Arabidopsis thaliana: one gene and its partners. The protein of the gene in region 1 interacts with the protein of each later gene in a pairwise test. Each region holds a gene or a part of one and is shown on either strand. Other genes may lie near its edges.

Region 1 (4,007 bases):
ATGACCAAAGGGCAAATGCAAATTACTTATTCTCTTAAAGTCAAGCTCAAGCTGAAGTCTTGCACTTTCTTGGCCCATCCATATTGCTACAACTCTTTTTTGGATGATAGTCATGTAGACTCTTTCACATTTCTTGGCCCATTAGATTCTTTCATGACTATCATCCATATTACAAGTTGCTGCATCAAACATGTGAAATATGTTATCATTCATGTGAAAGATGTTACTAAATCTGGTTCTTTTATTATTTTACTGGAACCCTACCATGTGGAACAGAACATGCATTTTCATGACTATCAACCAAAACCAAAACCAAAACCAAAACCCCGAACTGAACATCATCCAAGAATATCTATAACTGAAACTGTGATTCAAAAGTTGAAAATTCAGTTATAAGCATGTTATAAAAAGTGGAAAATGAAAGACTCTTATAGAAGAAAGAAGATGAAGAAATACTTGCGATGATGGTGTTAGACCAGTTCAGTTCGGCTTAGATGTTGTTCTATCAAATTCTACACATTTTACAATTATGTTGCTAATGTTTGGTATTGGAAACACTTATTGACAATGTTAGCAACTTAGCATACCTATGTCCAGTTCAGTTATGTCTCTGTGATATTCAAACAAGATTCTGAGCTTACACATGTACACAATGTATTCTTCCATTGACATAATTAATGTTACAAGATACAATGCCATTGATACATAATAGATTACACATTTACACTGTTACAAGATCAAAGCTCTAGTGGTACATATAGAGATCATCACACATGACATAGGAAACAAGAAGAAAGCATATAGAATTAAAGATTGATATATTCTTAGCTTGATGATGATCAGAGAATATGTAGGAAACTTTATGTCTTGGACTTGAAAGGAATAGCTCTGATGACTATCTGATGGTACAGAGCAGCAAGCGCAGCACCAATGAATGGACCGACCCAGAAGATCCACTGCAGACACATAAAACAAAAGAGACAACAGATAAGAGCAGAATTATCAAAAATTCTGAGTTGCTATTTAGATGCAATTCATAACTTATCATACTTAGCACAACCGTTGATGTAATTAAAGAGGAAAACTTACATGGTCATCCCAAGCATGATCCTTGTTGTAGATGATGGCAGCTCCGAGACTCCTGGCCGGGTTAATGCCAGTTCCAGTAATTGGGATGGTAGCCAAGTGCACCAAGAAGACAGCAAACCCAATTGGAAGCGGAGCCAAGATCTGCAAAATGTTCGATAACCAAAAAACACATGAGCTCTATGTGAAGAATATGAACTCAACACAACTCAAGGATACTAGAGAATTAGCAACATACAGGGACATGAGAGTCTCTGGCACTTCTCTTAGCATCAGTAGCTGAGAAAACAGTGTAAACCAGAACAAAAGTTCCAACAATCTCTGCACCAAGACCTGAACCCTTTGTGTAACCATGAGCCACCACATTAGCTCCACCGCCATTCGTCTGGTACAGCCCTGGTTGAAACCCTTTAACCACACCAGCACCACATATAGCTCCAAGGCACTGCATTACTATGTAGAACAGAGCTCTGGTTAAAGATAGCTTCCTCGCCAAGAACAAACCAAAAGTCACCGCCGGATTAATATGTCCTCCTGCTCATTACCAAACCAATTCGCCACACACAAGTCAAAATCAGATTATGATCTTCACACAGAAGAAACAAAGTGGGGCAAACTAACCAAAGTTTCAAACTTTAAGAAGAAAATTACTCAAAGTTTCAATCTTTAAATGTGAAATTACTTTTAAGTATCAAACTTTCTTCATTATATCCAAGTTTCTCACAACCAAGTAACCCTAATTCCAGATTCCTTCAACCTAAATTCGAAAACTTTAAACAAAATTCAGAGCAAGAACAGATCCTGAACCTGAGATTCCAGCAGTACAGTAAACAAGAGCAAAGATCATGCCACCAAAAGCCCAAGCGATGCCTTGGATTCCAACAGAGGCACACATATTGGGAGCTCTCTTAACACCCATGACTGTCAAAACGGTGACGTAGAGGAAAAGGAAAGTGGCTATGAACTCAGCTATCCCTGCTCTGTAGAAAGACCAAGATTTGAGCTCGCCGGGTTCGAAAAACGGCGCCGGTGGTGGTTCCTTATAGTCCTTGCTCTCCGTCTGAGCCGCCGTACCGATCGGCTGTCTCTCTGGGAACTTGTTGGCTCCAACATTGACGTCTTCTTCTTTGCCTTCCATGTTTCTCTCTCACTCTATCACCACCAACTTTAGTTTGTTGTCTCTGTAAATTTGATGACTGGTGTATGTGGAGGTTTTATAGTTTGGTTCATTTAGGCAAAAATAATTATTAATTAAATTTGCTACTAATTTCCAAAATCTTATATTTGTTATTCATGCAAATTTCTAAATTATCAGAAAATGTGTAAATAAATAAATATAGTTAATTACTAATTATAGAAAATAAATTAGTGAATTTAGACTAAATTAACTTAATCTGTCTAAAATTTTTGTGATAGATAATTTTAATTGCAATGGTTGATATAGAGTCGCACTCAAGTCTCTTTTGATTGATGATTTGCATTTTTTTTATTGTCAATCATAACTCGTGGTTTATAAACCTACATTTTCCATGTAAGACTTTTAATTCGTTTAATGTTTAATAACGGTTTTCTATCTAGTTAGTCTTTGAGCATAATACTTAAATTAAAAAATGTTGTTTTAAGATAAGAATTAGAGGTAGGTAGTTGAAATGGACTGGACAACTAGGCGCGAAAACGATGCATAGAAGAAGATGGACATAAGATTAAGCAACTACCATATAATTTGTTAAAACAGAATATATTACAGCTCAAATGATGTGGACAATTCTAACATAATGTTTCTATCAATTATGTGAATGATATTATAGAGGAAATTATTGGATGTCAAAAATATTATAGATGAAAGAAGACACTTCACATGGAAAATGTTCGCCTTATCGATCTCTACTGTTTATAGATCAATTCATGGTTTATTTAAGTTCCTTTGTGTCACTACTGTGTTTTTTTTTTATATTGGGCTTTGATCTAAAAACTTTTTTTGGGGTCAATTGATCCATAAACAAGCTTTTCCTTTTTCTTATGGAATATACTTTATACAAAAAAAAGTACATTAAAAAAAAGAGAAATCTTACTTTAGCATCTACATATGGGCAATAGAGATAGAGGGAGATACATTTGTCATTTACTGTGTATAGGTTCTTTGGTGGTTATAAATGATCTCAGATTTATGTGACACAATAAATATAGTTGTTCTGCTTCATTTTTTCTTTTGAAAAATATAGATTAAGATCCTTGATTCATCATGAGGTATTCCAATAAACTAATTATCTTGCTAACTTTATCAACAATAGCTCTCATTTTAGTTGGAGAGAGTCACAAAACAATACCTTCGAAAGAGGAGAAAGAAGAGATGAAGAAGCTACTTACCTATCTCAATAAACCTGCAGTCAAAAGTTTCCAAGTAAATTTAGCCTTTCTTTTCTTAAATTTTCATAAAACATTACAAAAATTGTTGACTATTGTAACAATATTACAACTATCATCAAGTTACATTTATTTTCAGACCACACCAATTTTTTCTTGCTTTTGATTTCGACAGACTGAACATGGTTATATATTTGACTGCATCGACATTCAAAAACAGCTAGCTTTTGATCATCCTTTGCTCAAGAACCATTCTATTAAGGTTTATCCTACAAACCACGAAAAAATATCTATAAATAAAATTCTTATTAATGTTTGGATGGATTGAAATATAAATGCAGTTGAAACCCACAACTATACCTAAATGGACCAAAGATAACAACGCTTCTCATAAAACTAGTTCTCTGCCATTTCGACAAGATGACATAAGTTGTCCAGTTGGGACAGTCATTGTCAAAAGAATTATACTTGAAGATCTTATACGAGCTCAACGTTTGCAATCCTTACGATTCAACTATCCAGGACAAGTGTCTGCAAAGGACAAGAAAATTGATTTA
Region 2 (5,318 bases), on another chromosome or scaffold:
ACGGTCGCCCAAGGCGTACACTGGTTCGATCTCCCTAGGTTCTACTCAGTGGCCACACGACTCCTCCGTAAACCAGGCGGAATCATCGCTGTCTGGGGATACAACGACGTCATAGTGAGTCCAGAGTTCGACGCCGTCCAGTATCGGCTCCACGCCACAACGCTGCCGTTTTGGAAGTATCCGTACATTCAGCACATCTTCGATTCGTACGAAGCATTGCCGTTTCCTTTCGAAAATGTTGGGATGGGATCAGAAGGGGAGCCATTAAAGCTGGAGATGCCTAAAACGACGTCGTTTGAAGGGATCATAAGGATGTTTAAATCATGGTCGGCCATCGTCACGGCGAGAGAGAAAGGCGTCGAGTTGTTACCGGAGAGTTTGGTGAGAGAGCTTGAAACCGCTTGGGGAGGTTCTGATCTGGTTCGTTCCGTCGTTTACAAAGCTTTTATGATTGCAGGAAAAGTTAGAGTTTGATATCACCAAACCATGATTGATTGTTGTTCTCATTTGAGTTTATTTATAAAAATTGGTTATATTGCAAAAATTCTCAGAAAGTGTTGTTATTTGACAAATCAAACAAAATACACTCTATTACATATATTAAAATCTCTTTTGGTATGCAACAAAATAGAACCTAAAATGCAACAAAACCGATTTTAAAAAGAAAAATAAGATAAACTATGATCACCTTTTCTTCTTTGTTTCCTTAATCGCCATGATGATCATCATATCCTCTAATCGATCTTAACAGAGGAATAGATGAGCCTTGTGAACCAGAGACAAGCATAGAACCCTATTGTTCCTGTGAGCACAAAAAATGCGTAGGAGGCGATGAGCATGTACCCAAAGTAAAGCATCGCAGAGACCAGTTTGGTGATCTGAAGCTTTGTGAAGAAGTAGAACGTGGCATAGAGGAAGAGGTAGAGAGCTGATGAGCCTGATGTGAGGTATGATCTCCACCACCAAAGGTAGTCCTCACTGCAAAGCTGGAAGTAGCAGAGTACTACGGTTATCTCGGCGCAAGTCACAATGAGGATTACAAAGACGAGGAAGAGGAACCCAAAGATGTAGTAGAACTGGTTGAGCCAGATGGATGTGAGGATGAAGAAGAGCTCGATGAAGACTGCACCAAACGGTAAGATTCCTCCAATGAGGATTGAGAAAACCGGGTTCATGTACCAAGCTTGCTCTGGGATTTGCCTCGGGATTTTGTTGGTTTTCACTGGGTCATCAGCCGCTGGCTTCTTGAACCCAATGTAACCCCCAACAAAGACGAGAGGAACTGAGATGCCAAACCAGAGGAAGATCAAGGCGAACATTGTTCCAAAGGGGACAGCCCCAGATGACTTCTGTCCCCAGATGAGAGCGTTTAGGACAAAGAAGATTGCTGACACAACTGCAGGAAACAAGAAGGCTGTTCTGAAAGCGATTCTCTTCCACTCTGTTCCTTTGAACATTTTGTAGAGACGTGAAGAGGCGTAACCAGCAAAGAGTCCCATGAAGACCCAGAGCAAGAGCATTGCAGTCATCAGACCACCCCGATTGGAAGGGGAGAGAAATCCGAGCATGGCGAAGATCATTGTGACAAATACCATGCCTAGACACTGGACCCCTGTTCCAACATAGACGCAGAGCAGATCAGAATTGGTAGGAAGTCTGAAAACATCACCATGGACAAGCTTCCATCCTGTCTCTTCTTGAGCTTCTTCTTGAGTCTCGAGCTCGTTGTATCGTGAAATGTCACGGTAAAGGGTCCTCAGCATTATCATTGCCACCATACCAGATAGGAATAGGACGATCATCAGAGAATTGACGATAGAGAACCAGTGGATTTGGTTATCACTCATCAGAAGATAAGTATCCCATCTAGATGCCCACTTCACTTCACTTTCCTGGACAGAAACAGAAGAGGAAATCAGAAAAACTATTGAAAACAAGAATTCATGAAATTTTTTTAAGACACAAACCGCAGATTACTTAAGAAAAAACTTGCCTGGAAATCGACGTCATATGTGAAGATAATCTCCTTCTTTTGTTCAACTTCTTGAGGGGTAGCCGAGCTAACGACCAGGCGTTTCGTGTGAGGATCACAAGTCGTCAGACGGGTCTTCTCACTCCACTCTCCCTCATACTCATGCTTCACACTACAAATCAACGGAGGGAATATCAGTTCTGAATGACAGGGGATCCCAAGAGACATTCAAATTATGAACAAGAACTGCACCTGTAAGGTTTAACCTCAAATCCCACGATTCTTGCAGCATCAGTTTGGATATCTCTGTGATAGCGGACTGTAAATGCCAAGTGATTGTGCATAAAGAACTTCTGCTCTTTGCTCTGCGTATGCAAAAACAAAATTAGAAAATCGAACGATCTAGCATGAATTCCATTTAGTGTCTTAACAATTAAAACCTACTTACCCCCTCGTACTGGCCTTTAAGACCAACATGATAACCAAGCTGATAAACAACAGAGGGAGAACCCTGGTCGACTCTTTCAATTGGAACAACCAGAGGAAGGTTGTCGAGGATCCTAACACAGACCAGAAACACTTATAATAAAACTGACAGAGAAAAGCATGTTCTTCATACAAATAATCAAAGAAAAGTGCCTGTATTTGGTCTTACATGTTGACCCGGTACTCATCATCGATCTTTTCTTTAAACGCTTTAGCTGTCTTGGCATCAAGAGTGACCCGGCCGAGAATATTGCACATTTGTGCCTCCCGCATTTTAAACTGCAATTGTTTCAGCCCCGCAAGGGTTAGAGTTAAATCACAGACATAATATTTTTGACAGCCTGATGAATTACAAAATTAAAAATTGAATACGAGACTAACCGAGTATGGGGCATTCTCAATCCGGTCACCCCGAAGCACTTCTCCAAGATTCTCAGTACTGTCCACAATCTTGCTAGGGCGACAAAAAGGAAGGGAGTAATACGAGTATGGAAGCTGAGTCTTTATGGAAGTTAATTTATTCACTTTCACCTTCAGCTCATCACCCTGCAACATACAAGAAAACAAGACTCAAAATTTGAATATGATTTTGAAGTGAAACATGCAAGTCTACTTTGATTGAGACTCGTCATATAACATGCAGGACCGACATTGCCCTTGTACCCATAACTTGGATTTCGTAGTAATGGCAAGCGAATCAAGAGCGAGAGATCACTAAGAACCTAACAAAGGTAATCAAAATTACAGCGAATAAGGCTAATCCAGAAGAATAAATATCGATATAGCTCGCCTAAGACGCTACATTGTTCAGATCGAGAGATTAGTGAAGCGGAAATGAAGTGAAATCACCAATTCTATTAGAAAAATAGCTAAACCAAAAGTCGGTGCATCAGCACTCCAACTCTCACTATCTCTAGCTTTCTCGGGAATCAAGAACGGATTAATCCTAGCGGAAATCGAAACGCAGATCCAGGAGATCCAAATCAGATCTAAAAGCCTAGAAGCACAAATTCGAAACGTTTTTACCTTCTCGAAATCCTGAGGAGCAACACCTGGGAGATAGAATGAGTGAGCTCCATGGATGAAGAGCAGAAAAATCAAAGCGATCGCGCATCCAGAAGATTCCAATATTCTTCTACTGCTCCTCAGAAACTCCATAGCCATGGCTGTTCCACACGAAGGAAGAAAATAACCAGATCTGAAGCTACGCTACAGTTGTATTTGACTCTTATACGCTTCGAGACTCGAGACCAAGACCCGCCTCTAATTGTGATTTAATACTTCCCGGTTTATTTTTCCGGTTTGGCTCGTTTATGTTTGATCCTTATCAACCATTAATAATTCACCACGTCACTACGCATGAAGTCTTTCTACGAGCTATAAGCCTACATAACCAATGGGCCTAACTCGATAAGCCCACCCTAGGATAAACCAATCCGATAAACCATGATTAATTAAAGTCAATCAAGATTTTTAAGCATTTGCTATACATTTTTAAGATTGTGTTAAAATGTGGTCTCAATATAATCGATAGAGAGAAAATGGGCGACGCCGCCGGAGGCTTGAGATCTGAAACGCAAGATGTGACCATGACGGACCTAGGAGAGAAAGGTCATTCTCCGGGAGACCCTCCTGATGCACCGGGTTCGTGGGTGAAGAAAGTGGTGGGGGGACATTTAGGTGGTATCCTAAATCCGAATGATATCTTAGATGATGAGTTTGTGTCTGAGCAAATGACACTGGAGTTCCCTGATGGTGAGGATGGAGAACCAGTGATAACAATTGGCAGTGAGGTATTGGCGGCGATGAATGGTTTGTTGAAGAACAGCTTGATCGTGAAAGTGCCCGGGCGTAACATGACAATATCAGCATTAAGTAGAAAGCTTCGAGAGATGTGGAAACCACGAGGAGCAATGTCTGTTGTGGATCTCCCTCGTAAGTTTTTCATGATTCGGTTCGAAGCGGAGGAGGAATACATGGCAGCGTTGACAGGAGGTCCATGGAGGGCGTTTGATCGCTATCTCATGGTGCAAGCTTGGTCACCGGAGTTTGATCCCTTGAGAGACGATATTGTGACCACACCATAATCGATTTGATTTGAAGAAAATCTATCGTTTTATATTTTGCCTTGGTTTACTTGTTTGTATTCAAAGAATTGGTTTACTTGTTAAGATATTTTTCATGGTCCAAAGACACGGAAACTTTGTACCGAAATCAAATTTTCAAAGTAATTCTATTATTTCATAACACACATGGATACTTGACGCAAGATTTGATAACAAAAACAAACATCATATCTTTCATAAAGAGATCAGAGTTTTTGGTTTTATTCTCTTGCTAAGTAAGCGCAAGAAGAGAAGCAGCACAAGGCCTTAGTTTTGACAAGTTAAACAACGAAACAACACAAAACATCAAACACAACAACAACAACAATAACAACGAGGACTGCATATTTACACTGATCTGGAAGCTTTTCAGATTCAGCAGCACAAGACCAGACGACACAACAGGGAACTCTTTTCTTTCCATTATTCAAGATCTAGTAACCTCCCTGAATATACGCATTTAGGCGTTGAAGCTCCTCTCTATGCTCATGAACCACTGCACGGACAACATCTCCTATGGACACCATTCCAATCATGCCCTTGTCTTTGATTACCGGAATATGCCTGATTCGGTTATCTGTACATTACAAAAACACAAACCCGCATTTTTATTTGCTTCAGTAGGTTTTAAACCCAAAAGCTTGTATCTTTAGTGGAAAAATATCAAGTTGTCTGCTTACCTGTCATCAGTTGCATAGCACGCAAGACCTTGGTCTCCGGTGTCACAGTGATAAGCTTATTCTGCAATTGCCAGT
Region 3 (4,386 bases), on another chromosome or scaffold:
TCAAAAATTCGAGAAGAGTAACTTTCTTGTTCTCTTCCTAGTTGCTACTGAAAAGAAAAACAAAGAAGAAGGAGAAGAGTCAACAGTGGCGGTTCCGGCAAAGAAACCTAAACCCGCAGCTAAAGCGGCTGCAGTGGCGAAACCGCTGAGACAAATGATGGAAGAAGACGTGATTCCTCCTTTACAAGCCATTCTTGAATCTCAAGATGATATCTCTGACATAGATTTATCTTTCCAAGACGATAAGGTTTCTTGCTTCTAACTTCTAATGCTTTGTTGCCATGCTTATGGGGCCATCTCTCTACCCTATATGGCTCCAGTTTTATTGGATGTTCTCAAAATGTCTTCTTGATTAAACTTCTAAGACAATTATCATTATTTGTGTCAGTTGGAAGGTTTTTTCTTAAAGAAAAGTATTCCATATTCCTTTTGGGCCTTTTTCCCTACTGGAAACCTTACAGGTGAAGTATTGAATCTTTTACTTGAGACTCTTGTTACAGAAAATTTCAATGGAACATTATGTCTTTTGGTTTGTTGCTTAAAACAGGAGCAAAAGGATTTTCAATTTCCTCACACGGGTCAGGTCCGAGCACCGTGGAACCATTTCTTGTCGACGAGAGGAAACCAACTGCGAACCACGTTGTGTTTTGGGTCGAGAAGCGTCTTGCTGCACAAGGGATCATCCCCGTTTGGAACCAATGAGGTTTTTGTTCACTTGTAATTATTACATTTGTATACCAAAATTGAAGAAAACTTATAAATCCTTGTCATAAAATTGATTAAGAAAACAAATGACCCTCTTTTATAAACATCTTTCAAAAAAAATTTGCATAAGGCATACAAATAGTTTGAGATAACTATGAGAAACATCATTTGTTTAAGCCAATCTGTTTTCAGTTGAGACAATTCTCTTCCTTGCCTTCTCAGCCTGCAAAATCATAGATTACTTCATAGCATTAATGAATGAACATAAAAGAATTTACAAGTGTAAAAAGCTGAAATGGCTATTTACCTGTTCCTTCCAATTTATGGAAGCTGTGACAATAGCCAGTATAGTGGCTTGCACAGTAGATCCAACCACAACACCGCACCACAGTCCTTTTCCGTTCAACTCACGACTGAAAGCTAAGTAAATTCCAACAGGAGCTCCTACAAGATAATAAGAAACAGTATTGTTCCAAGCTCCAATGTGTTGCCAACCACTTCCCCTAGCAACTCCATTTAGAACTGCTGTGAAGCCGTCGAGGATAAAGGAGAGGCAGAGCAAAGGAGTTAGGTCAGCTACATAGTCCAAAACTTCTTTGCTGTTGCTGAATGCGTATCCTATGATGTTCCTGCAGGTGAATAGAAGTATGCTAAAGAAAGCTGACTCTACTATCCAGAGACAAAGCCCTGCTAATACTGAAACCCTAGCAACTTGAGGATTCCCAGCTCCCAAATTGTTTGATACACGTGTGCTGCAAGAAACCAATCACTAAATGTTTAGGAAAGAATTGTCTATAATAAGATGAAGATGTTCTGAATGATAAAACTGAGATCATATTCATACCTCACAGCCGCGGCGACTCCAGCTGAAATCACATAGTGCAAAGTTTCTATTGTAAGACTGAAAAGAAGGAAACAGGATTCATTAGTTTTTAGTAAAGAGACCACAAAAGATAAAAAGAAGTCCTTCTATGGTACTTACCAAATTGAAAGAACAGAGGTCTCGAGTTTCGGGTTAGGGAGAAGACCTGAGCAGAGTATGAGTATCTCAAATAGCCACCATTCTAGACTATTAAAGAAGACCGAGAAAATGCAAGCGGGATAAGAAGAAGAGCATTAGGGTATGTAACTTGACGGACAAACAACTTAAAATGACTTACCAAATCATTGCAGCTGATGGGATTCCGTATTGGAAGAACTGCTTGATAGAAGACACAAAATCTCGGGATACAAATCCGCGAGTCTTCTCGCAAGAGCTGGAGAATCTCACATAACATGAGAGTATCACAGCGTAAAACCAGAAAGACACACTTGTAGCCATGGCAGGTCCATTACATCCCAGACCAAACAAGAAAACCAAAGTCCAACAAACCAAAACGTGGAACAAAAGGGTGGTCACGGCAGTGAAGAGCAGAGGAATAACCAACCCTTGTGTTAGCAGAAACCGGGACAGTGGTATGACAATCGCTTGGCCAAATAAAGCCGGTATAAGCCAAAAGGCGTAGGAGCCAGCGATTCTTGAAATTTCAGGGTCTTGTCCGAGAGAAATCAAGATCTTTTCGATGTAAAGCCAGAGAATTGATATGAGGAAACAAATTGGTATGTTGGAAGCAATAGCAGAGTATGCGTAAGTTCCGATTTTTTCATATTGTTTGGCTCCATAAGCTTGGCCACAAAGAGTTTCAAGTGCACCCACTAATCCACACTGCACAAAAATAATTGAAGTGTTTTCAATACTTGAGAGAGTCCATTTGATTCTTGAGTTGAAAAGGTTAGAGTCATAGCATAATTACCATAATGCTAAAACCGGTGACGTTTGTGAAGGAGTTTGCAAGAGCGACACCGGAGAGCTGGAGCTCGCCGTTGTGGCCAGCGACCATGACCGAGATGACAGGCAATAAGTACTGAGCAATGGTCACAGTGGCCATAGGAGCGGCCAAGCGGCTCACTCTCTTTAGCTCGACGGTTAATGGATTTGTATGCCATGTGACTTGAGAAGGGACTAGAAGCTCGTCTCTCAGAAGAAATGGCTCCTCCATTGTTTAACGTTGAAGGCCTTTCCCTTTGATTTTAAGATGATATTTATCCTATCTTTATAGACCGACTAAGTCAATAAACAACAAAGGCAACTTGAACTACAAACGTGGTGACGAAGTAGATATGATGAGTAAAGAAGCAAATTCGTTTTGACTTGTTTGAAAATATAGATACTAGTGGCACACGAATATACTATATTATAAAAATAGATATATAGAATATACATATTAAAAATGACATGTCATTAGTGTTAATACTTTTTAATTATTTACATAAGAACATATGTGAAGACTGAAGACTAATATGAATTATTTTGTTTTGTAGAGTTTGAACATTCAATCTTGTATTAATTACTTTTGTGGATTTTTATATTTTTATATAGTCCTAAAGTTTGACTCTAATTTAAGTAATTTGCTTACCTTAAGTTTTGATTCTTTAGACCACTTTAAAGACATTTGGATCTGATTTTACACAGGTTTTAGTAAATCATTTGTGGTTGAAACTAAAAGTGACAGCCGCTCTCAAGTAGAATCCAAAGTTTCGTCAGAGATTTGTCGTGAAGGTCCGAGTTTCAAAATCTGAATAGTATTGTATTATGAGCCTAAAAGCTCTCTCGGAAAGGGTTCACTAAGATTTATTGGTAGAAGATTGTGGTTATAGTCACAAATACCATAAAATAAATTTATTGGGAATGACATGTGAAAAAATTAAGAAAAGCATGTTTATGGATAAATGATGATTATACACTTACAAGTTACACAACATAGTGAAAAAGATAGGCTGAGAAAAAATCATACATATAAATTATTTTGTAAGAACATTTTTTAACACATTAATATACCATACATAAAAATTTGCTCAACACCTACAAAAATAGTTTGAGATAGCTCTCAGAAACATCCTTAGTTTAAGCCAATCTATTTTCACTAGAGACCATTCTCTTCCTAGCCTTCTCAGCCTGCAAATCATAGATTAAAATTACTTCATAGTATTAAAGAAAGAACAAAAAAGAATGTACAAGTATAACATGCTAAAATGACGAATCTTCTATTCTAAGTGTTTTACCTGTTCCTTCCAATTTATGGAAGCTGTGACAAAAGCCAATATTATGGCTTGCACAGCGGATCCGACCACAACACCACACCAAAGTCCTTTTCCGTTCAACTCACGATTGAAAGCTAAGTATACTCCAACAGGAGCTCCTACAAGATAATAAGCTACCACGTTGTTCAAAGCTCCAATGTGTTGCCAACCACTTCCCCTTGCAACCCCATTCAGAACTGCTGTGAAACCGTCGAGGATAAAGGAGAGGCAGAGCAAAGGAGTTAGGTTAGCCACATAGTCCACAACTTCTTTGCTGTTGCTGAATGCGTAGCCTATAATGTTTCGGCATGTGAAGAGAAGTGTGCTAAAGAAAGCTGACTCTACAAGCCAGAGACAAAGCCCTGCCAATACTGAAACCCTAGCAACTTGAGGAATCCCAGCTCCCAATTTGTTTGACACGCGTGTGCTGCAAGAAACCAAATGACTATTATTGTTTAGGAAGAAGATGTTGAATATGTTTGGTTAAAAATTTGAGTTCATACCTCACAGCCGCCGCGACTCCACCTGGAATCACATAGTGCAAACTTGCTGTTGTAAGAC
Region 4 (4,100 bases), on another chromosome or scaffold:
CCATTTGTCACGAAATCATCATAAACAACCATATGTTGAATTCTTCTCTTTCGTCGAGGTTAGTAGAGAACATATCTGGTTGCTCAGTGGGAGTGACATTAAAAACGTCGTCTATGTATTGTAGATTAGGTATTTCAATGATACCTAGTTGAGGATCTCTCAAATAGCTTATAATCTTTGGTAGGACAAGATCCTCCATATTCGTATGCAAATGGACATTGGCAAAGTTATGTGGTAGCTCATATTCCCGTTCTGCTAAGGCCATCTTTTTGTGCTCTTCAGAGCAATACCGAGATTCAGGTGCGTAGACACATGTACAAGACCAGTACGCGAAGGCCTTATCTTTATGCACATAATGCATAACACGAAGATTGGCAACACCCATTGCAGAAACCTGCTAATACACATTGTTAGGTCTAGAGAAAAAAACTCTCTCTCGCAACTTTGAAGATTTTGTTTGCTCTTTGGATTGTCGAGATTGTTTCATTTCGTGTTTTTATATTATTTTTTACTTTTAGTTTTGGATTTGAATCTTAGGTTTAAAAAAGAAAAAGAAAAATTGTGATCAAAACGACATGGTTTGATTGAAGATGATGCTAATTCATTAAACATGGGTCATTTGAGTCGACGTATGTTAGTATTAACTAACATTTGTTATTGCAGATCCTAAAATACGTGCGACCTATAAAGTTTGGATATAATTTTTTTTTTTTTATGAATTTGGGTAAAGAATTAACATTGTACAGTATGTTTTATATAAGAAAACAATACTTTGCAAATTGTACTGGTATAAAAATATCGTTTTTCCAGTCACCCGCTTACGTTTGGTCCAAGTTGTTTTTAATTTTATACCGAATTAAAGTTTATTAGTCACAACTTTAAGTGTTTTTTCCAAACCCAAATCAAAATTCGATTTTTTTCGTCACAACTTTGAATCAGCCCCTTCACCTTTGCAGCCACATCTAACCGAATGCCCACCTAGACAACATCTTATAATGCGTCTTTTTATTATTATTATCCAAAAATAATTAAATTAGTGAGGTTTCTTACGTGATTATTCCTTGTTAATTAAACATCTGAATTTCCGTAAGCGAGTTCGAAACACGTAATTAAATATTGTAGGTAATATATAACAACCAAACTGGGTTTCCTCTCTTTCTTTGTTAGAAAAAACTAATAAATTAGATAAAACAAGTTCACCAACAAGGCAAACATTTCACGGTCAATTTTTCAGCTCACCCGAATTTGAGAATCTCTAGACGAAACCAAATCTCTTTCTAACTAATTCTTTTTTTGCTTTTCTTGTACCTCTTCACAATTTCAAAACCCAATTAAAAAAAAAAAAAAAAAAGAACCAACTACATATCTTAATTTCTTAGATATTTTTTTTGGTCAACCAATTTCATTAGAAATTAAAAAATACAAGAAAAACAACAAATGTTTAATTTCATATAAATTTATCTAACTGTATCAATATTATTTACGAACAAATTCTTTATTAAGAAAAACAAATTAAGCATTTTAAGCTTGGAATCATAAATATCTTTGGTTTAATTTAGTCATAGTCAAGTGCTTTTCGGTTTTCATGGAAGGCAATAAGAGAAAGCTAATAAAGTCTTGAAGCTTTTGAATGTTTGAATAATAAAGGAGAGGTTCCTTAAAGTTTGGTGTGTTAGTTCATCTTCTCTACCATTTATTCTTCACTTAATCTCACACTCTTTGCTCAATTTGTTGATTTCTCTATCTCTCAAAGTTTGATGCTTTCTTTTTCCTTCTTTCTTTCTTAGATGGAATTGCCGGTAAAAGCTCCTATTCCCGGTGGCCGGGAAATCTCATATAGATTAGAAACCAAGAATCTGTCGTATAGAATAGGCGGAAACACTCCAAAGTTTTCTAATTTATGTGGTTTGTTGAGTGAGAAGGAGGAAAAGGTTATCTTAAAGGATGTTTCTTGTGATGCAAGATCCGCGGAGATCACTGCGATCGCGGGTCCAAGCGGAGCAGGGAAAACCACGTTGCTGGAGATTCTAGCCGGAAAAGTTTCTCATGGGAAAGTTTCAGGGCAAGTGCTTGTCAACGGTAGGCCTATGGATGGTCCTGAGTACAGGAGGGTTTCAGGGTTTGTGCCACAAGAAGATGCTCTGTTTCCGTTTCTTACGGTGCAAGAAACACTGACGTACAGCGCACTCTTGAGGCTGAAGACAAAGAGGAAAGACGCGGCTGCAAAGGTGAAGAGGCTGATTCAAGAGCTTGGTCTAGAACATGTTGCGGATTCAAGGATCGGTCAAGGATCAAGATCTGGAATCTCTGGAGGAGAGAGAAGAAGGGTTTCTATTGGAGTTGAACTTGTTCATGATCCAAATGTTATATTGATCGATGAGCCAACCTCTGGTTTGGATTCTGCGTCCGCTCTTCAAGTTGTGACGCTTCTCAAAGATATGACGATTAAACAAGGTAAAACCATTGTTCTGACGATTCACCAGCCTGGTTTTCGCATACTCGAGCAGATAGACCGGATAGTGTTGCTCTCTAACGGGATGGTTGTTCAAAACGGATCAGTTTATAGCCTTCATCAGAAGATTAAGTTCTCCGGTCACCAGATTCCTAGGCGGGTAAATGTCTTGGAGTATGCAATTGATATTGCAGGGAGTCTTGAACCGATCAGAACCCAGAGTTGCAGAGAAATCTCATGTTATGGTCATAGCAAAACATGGAAGAGTTGCTATATTAGTGCAGGAGGAGAGCTTCATCAATCTGATTCTCACAGCAACTCAGTGTTAGAGGAAGTGCAGATACTCGGGCAAAGATCTTGCAAGAACATCTTCAGAACCAAGCAATTGTTCACAACCAGAGCCTTACAAGCTTCCATTGCCGGTCTTATACTGGGGTCGATTTACTTGAACGTAGGAAATCAAAAGAAAGAAGCGAAAGTCTTGCGAACCGGGTTCTTCGCCTTTATCCTCACTTTCCTGCTATCTTCCACAACAGAGGGACTTCCAATTTTCTTGCAAGACAGGAGAATCCTAATGAGAGAGACATCGAGAAGGGCTTACAGAGTTTTGTCTTACGTTTTAGCAGATACTCTCATATTCATTCCCTTCTTGTTGATCATAAGCATGCTCTTTGCTACGCCGGTTTATTGGCTGGTCGGTCTCAGAAGAGAGCTAGACGGCTTCCTCTACTTCTCATTGGTGATATGGATTGTTCTTCTGATGTCAAACTCTTTTGTCGCATGTTTCAGTGCTCTTGTCCCAAACTTCATAATGGGGACATCAGTAATCTCAGGTCTCATGGGATCTTTCTTCCTCTTCTCCGGGTATTTCATTGCAAAGGACAGGATCCCCGTTTACTGGGAGTTCATGCATTATCTCAGCCTCTTCAAGTATCCATTCGAATGCCTGATGATCAACGAGTATCGAGGAGACGTGTTCTTAAAACAACAAGACCTCAAAGAGTCTCAGAAATGGAGCAATCTTGGTATCATGGCAAGTTTCATCGTCGGGTACAGAGTCCTTGGATTCTTCATCTTATGGTACAGATGTTACAGAACAAGAAGCTAGGTTAATAACAATGATCTGCAGATATAATTCAATTTGTTTTGTAATTTTATAAGAAATTTTACTTTCTCATATTCTTTCTTTTTGTTCAGCACTTTCTTATATTCTAAAATTCGCAATGTAAAGTAACAAAAAAACTTTCTGATAAAAACAGAGTAAACTCGTTTATTTATAAGACAGTTTTAAGCATCACACTTAGTACAAAGCTCACCACAACAACGGTACACTCATTGATCGTTTGATACTAAAGCCTTTTTCTTATTAAAGTCACTCTTACCTAAGATACTCATGAGTTTACACAAGTGTTGCCTTTGAGAGCTGAAGTCCTTTCTCGCGCCCGTAAAACTTCTCTACAATTGCAAGTGCAAACTCCAATGAGGTTCCTGGACCCCTGCTCGTTATGAGATTGCCGTCCACCAAGACTCGATGCTCGATGTGACTCTGGTCCGTCAGTTTGCTGCACATTGCTGGAAACGCTGTTGCCTTCTTACCCTGTAAAAAAATCCATTAAAAATTGTGACCCTTCCCTTAGTTTTAAGTGCA

What was found.
Region 2: the proteins of PIP1;5 (region 1) and EMP1 interact in a protein complementation assay, tested with the Arabidopsis thaliana proteins (one large-scale study listed by BioGRID).
Region 3: the proteins of PIP1;5 (region 1) and DTX1 interact in a protein complementation assay, tested with the Arabidopsis thaliana proteins (one large-scale study listed by BioGRID).
Region 4: the proteins of PIP1;5 (region 1) and ABCG10 interact in a protein complementation assay, tested with the Arabidopsis thaliana proteins (one large-scale study listed by BioGRID).

The regions. Positions count from the first base shown.
Region 1 is NC_003075.7:12,219,009-12,223,015, reverse strand, and holds PIP1;5 (plasma membrane intrinsic protein 1;5), read right to left. Parts: upstream 2,376-4,007; 5' UTR 2,225-2,375; coding exon 1,894-2,224; intron 1,621-1,893; coding exon 1,325-1,620; intron 1,231-1,324; coding exon 1,090-1,230; intron 957-1,089; coding exon 861-956; 3' UTR 548-860; downstream 1-547. Other genes in the region: AT4G23390 (NEP-interacting protein, putative (DUF239)), read left to right, coding at 3,329-3,487, 3,626-3,712, 3,792-4,007. UniProt on the Arabidopsis thaliana protein: Aquaporins facilitate the transport of water and small neutral solutes across cell membranes.
Region 2 is NC_003076.8:3,424,176-3,429,493, forward strand, and holds EMP1 (Endomembrane protein 70 protein family), read right to left. Parts: upstream 3,723-5,318; 5' UTR 3,623-3,722; coding exon 3,485-3,622; intron 3,005-3,484; coding exon 2,840-3,004; intron 2,738-2,839; coding exon 2,628-2,737; intron 2,533-2,627; coding exon 2,421-2,532; intron 2,338-2,420; coding exon 2,225-2,337; intron 2,145-2,224; coding exon 1,994-2,144; intron 1,893-1,993; coding exon 735-1,892; 3' UTR 513-734; downstream 1-512. Other genes in the region: AT5G10830 (S-adenosyl-L-methionine-dependent methyltransferases superfamily protein), read left to right, coding at 1-474; CBSX3 (Cystathionine beta-synthase (CBS) family protein), read right to left, coding at 4,998-5,140, 5,244-5,304.
Region 3 is NC_003071.7:1,333,737-1,338,122, forward strand, and holds DTX1 (MATE efflux family protein), read right to left. Parts: upstream 2,815-4,386; 5' UTR 2,745-2,814; coding exon 2,499-2,744; intron 2,411-2,498; coding exon 1,866-2,410; intron 1,775-1,865; coding exon 1,688-1,774; intron 1,607-1,687; coding exon 1,550-1,606; intron 1,458-1,549; coding exon 1,013-1,457; intron 929-1,012; coding exon 878-928; 3' UTR 722-877; coding exon of another isoform or gene 548-721; 3' UTR 534-547; downstream 1-533. Other genes in the region: AT2G04039 (DUF2996 family protein), read left to right, coding at 42-247, 389-466, 551-721; AT2G04050 (MATE efflux family protein), read right to left, coding at 3,650-3,700, 3,808-4,252, 4,329-4,385. UniProt on the Arabidopsis thaliana protein: Efflux carrier for plant-derived alkaloids, antibiotics, heavy metal and other toxic compounds. Involved in cadmium detoxification. Requires probably a proton-motive force for the efflux.
Region 4 is NC_003070.9:19,861,091-19,865,190, forward strand, and holds ABCG10 (ABC-2 type transporter family protein), read left to right. Parts: upstream 1-1,730; 5' UTR 1,731-1,787; coding exon 1,788-3,560; downstream 3,561-4,100. Other genes in the region: AT1G53265 (uncharacterized protein), read right to left, coding at 8-385; DJ1B (Class I glutamine amidotransferase-like superfamily protein), read right to left, coding at 3,852-4,049.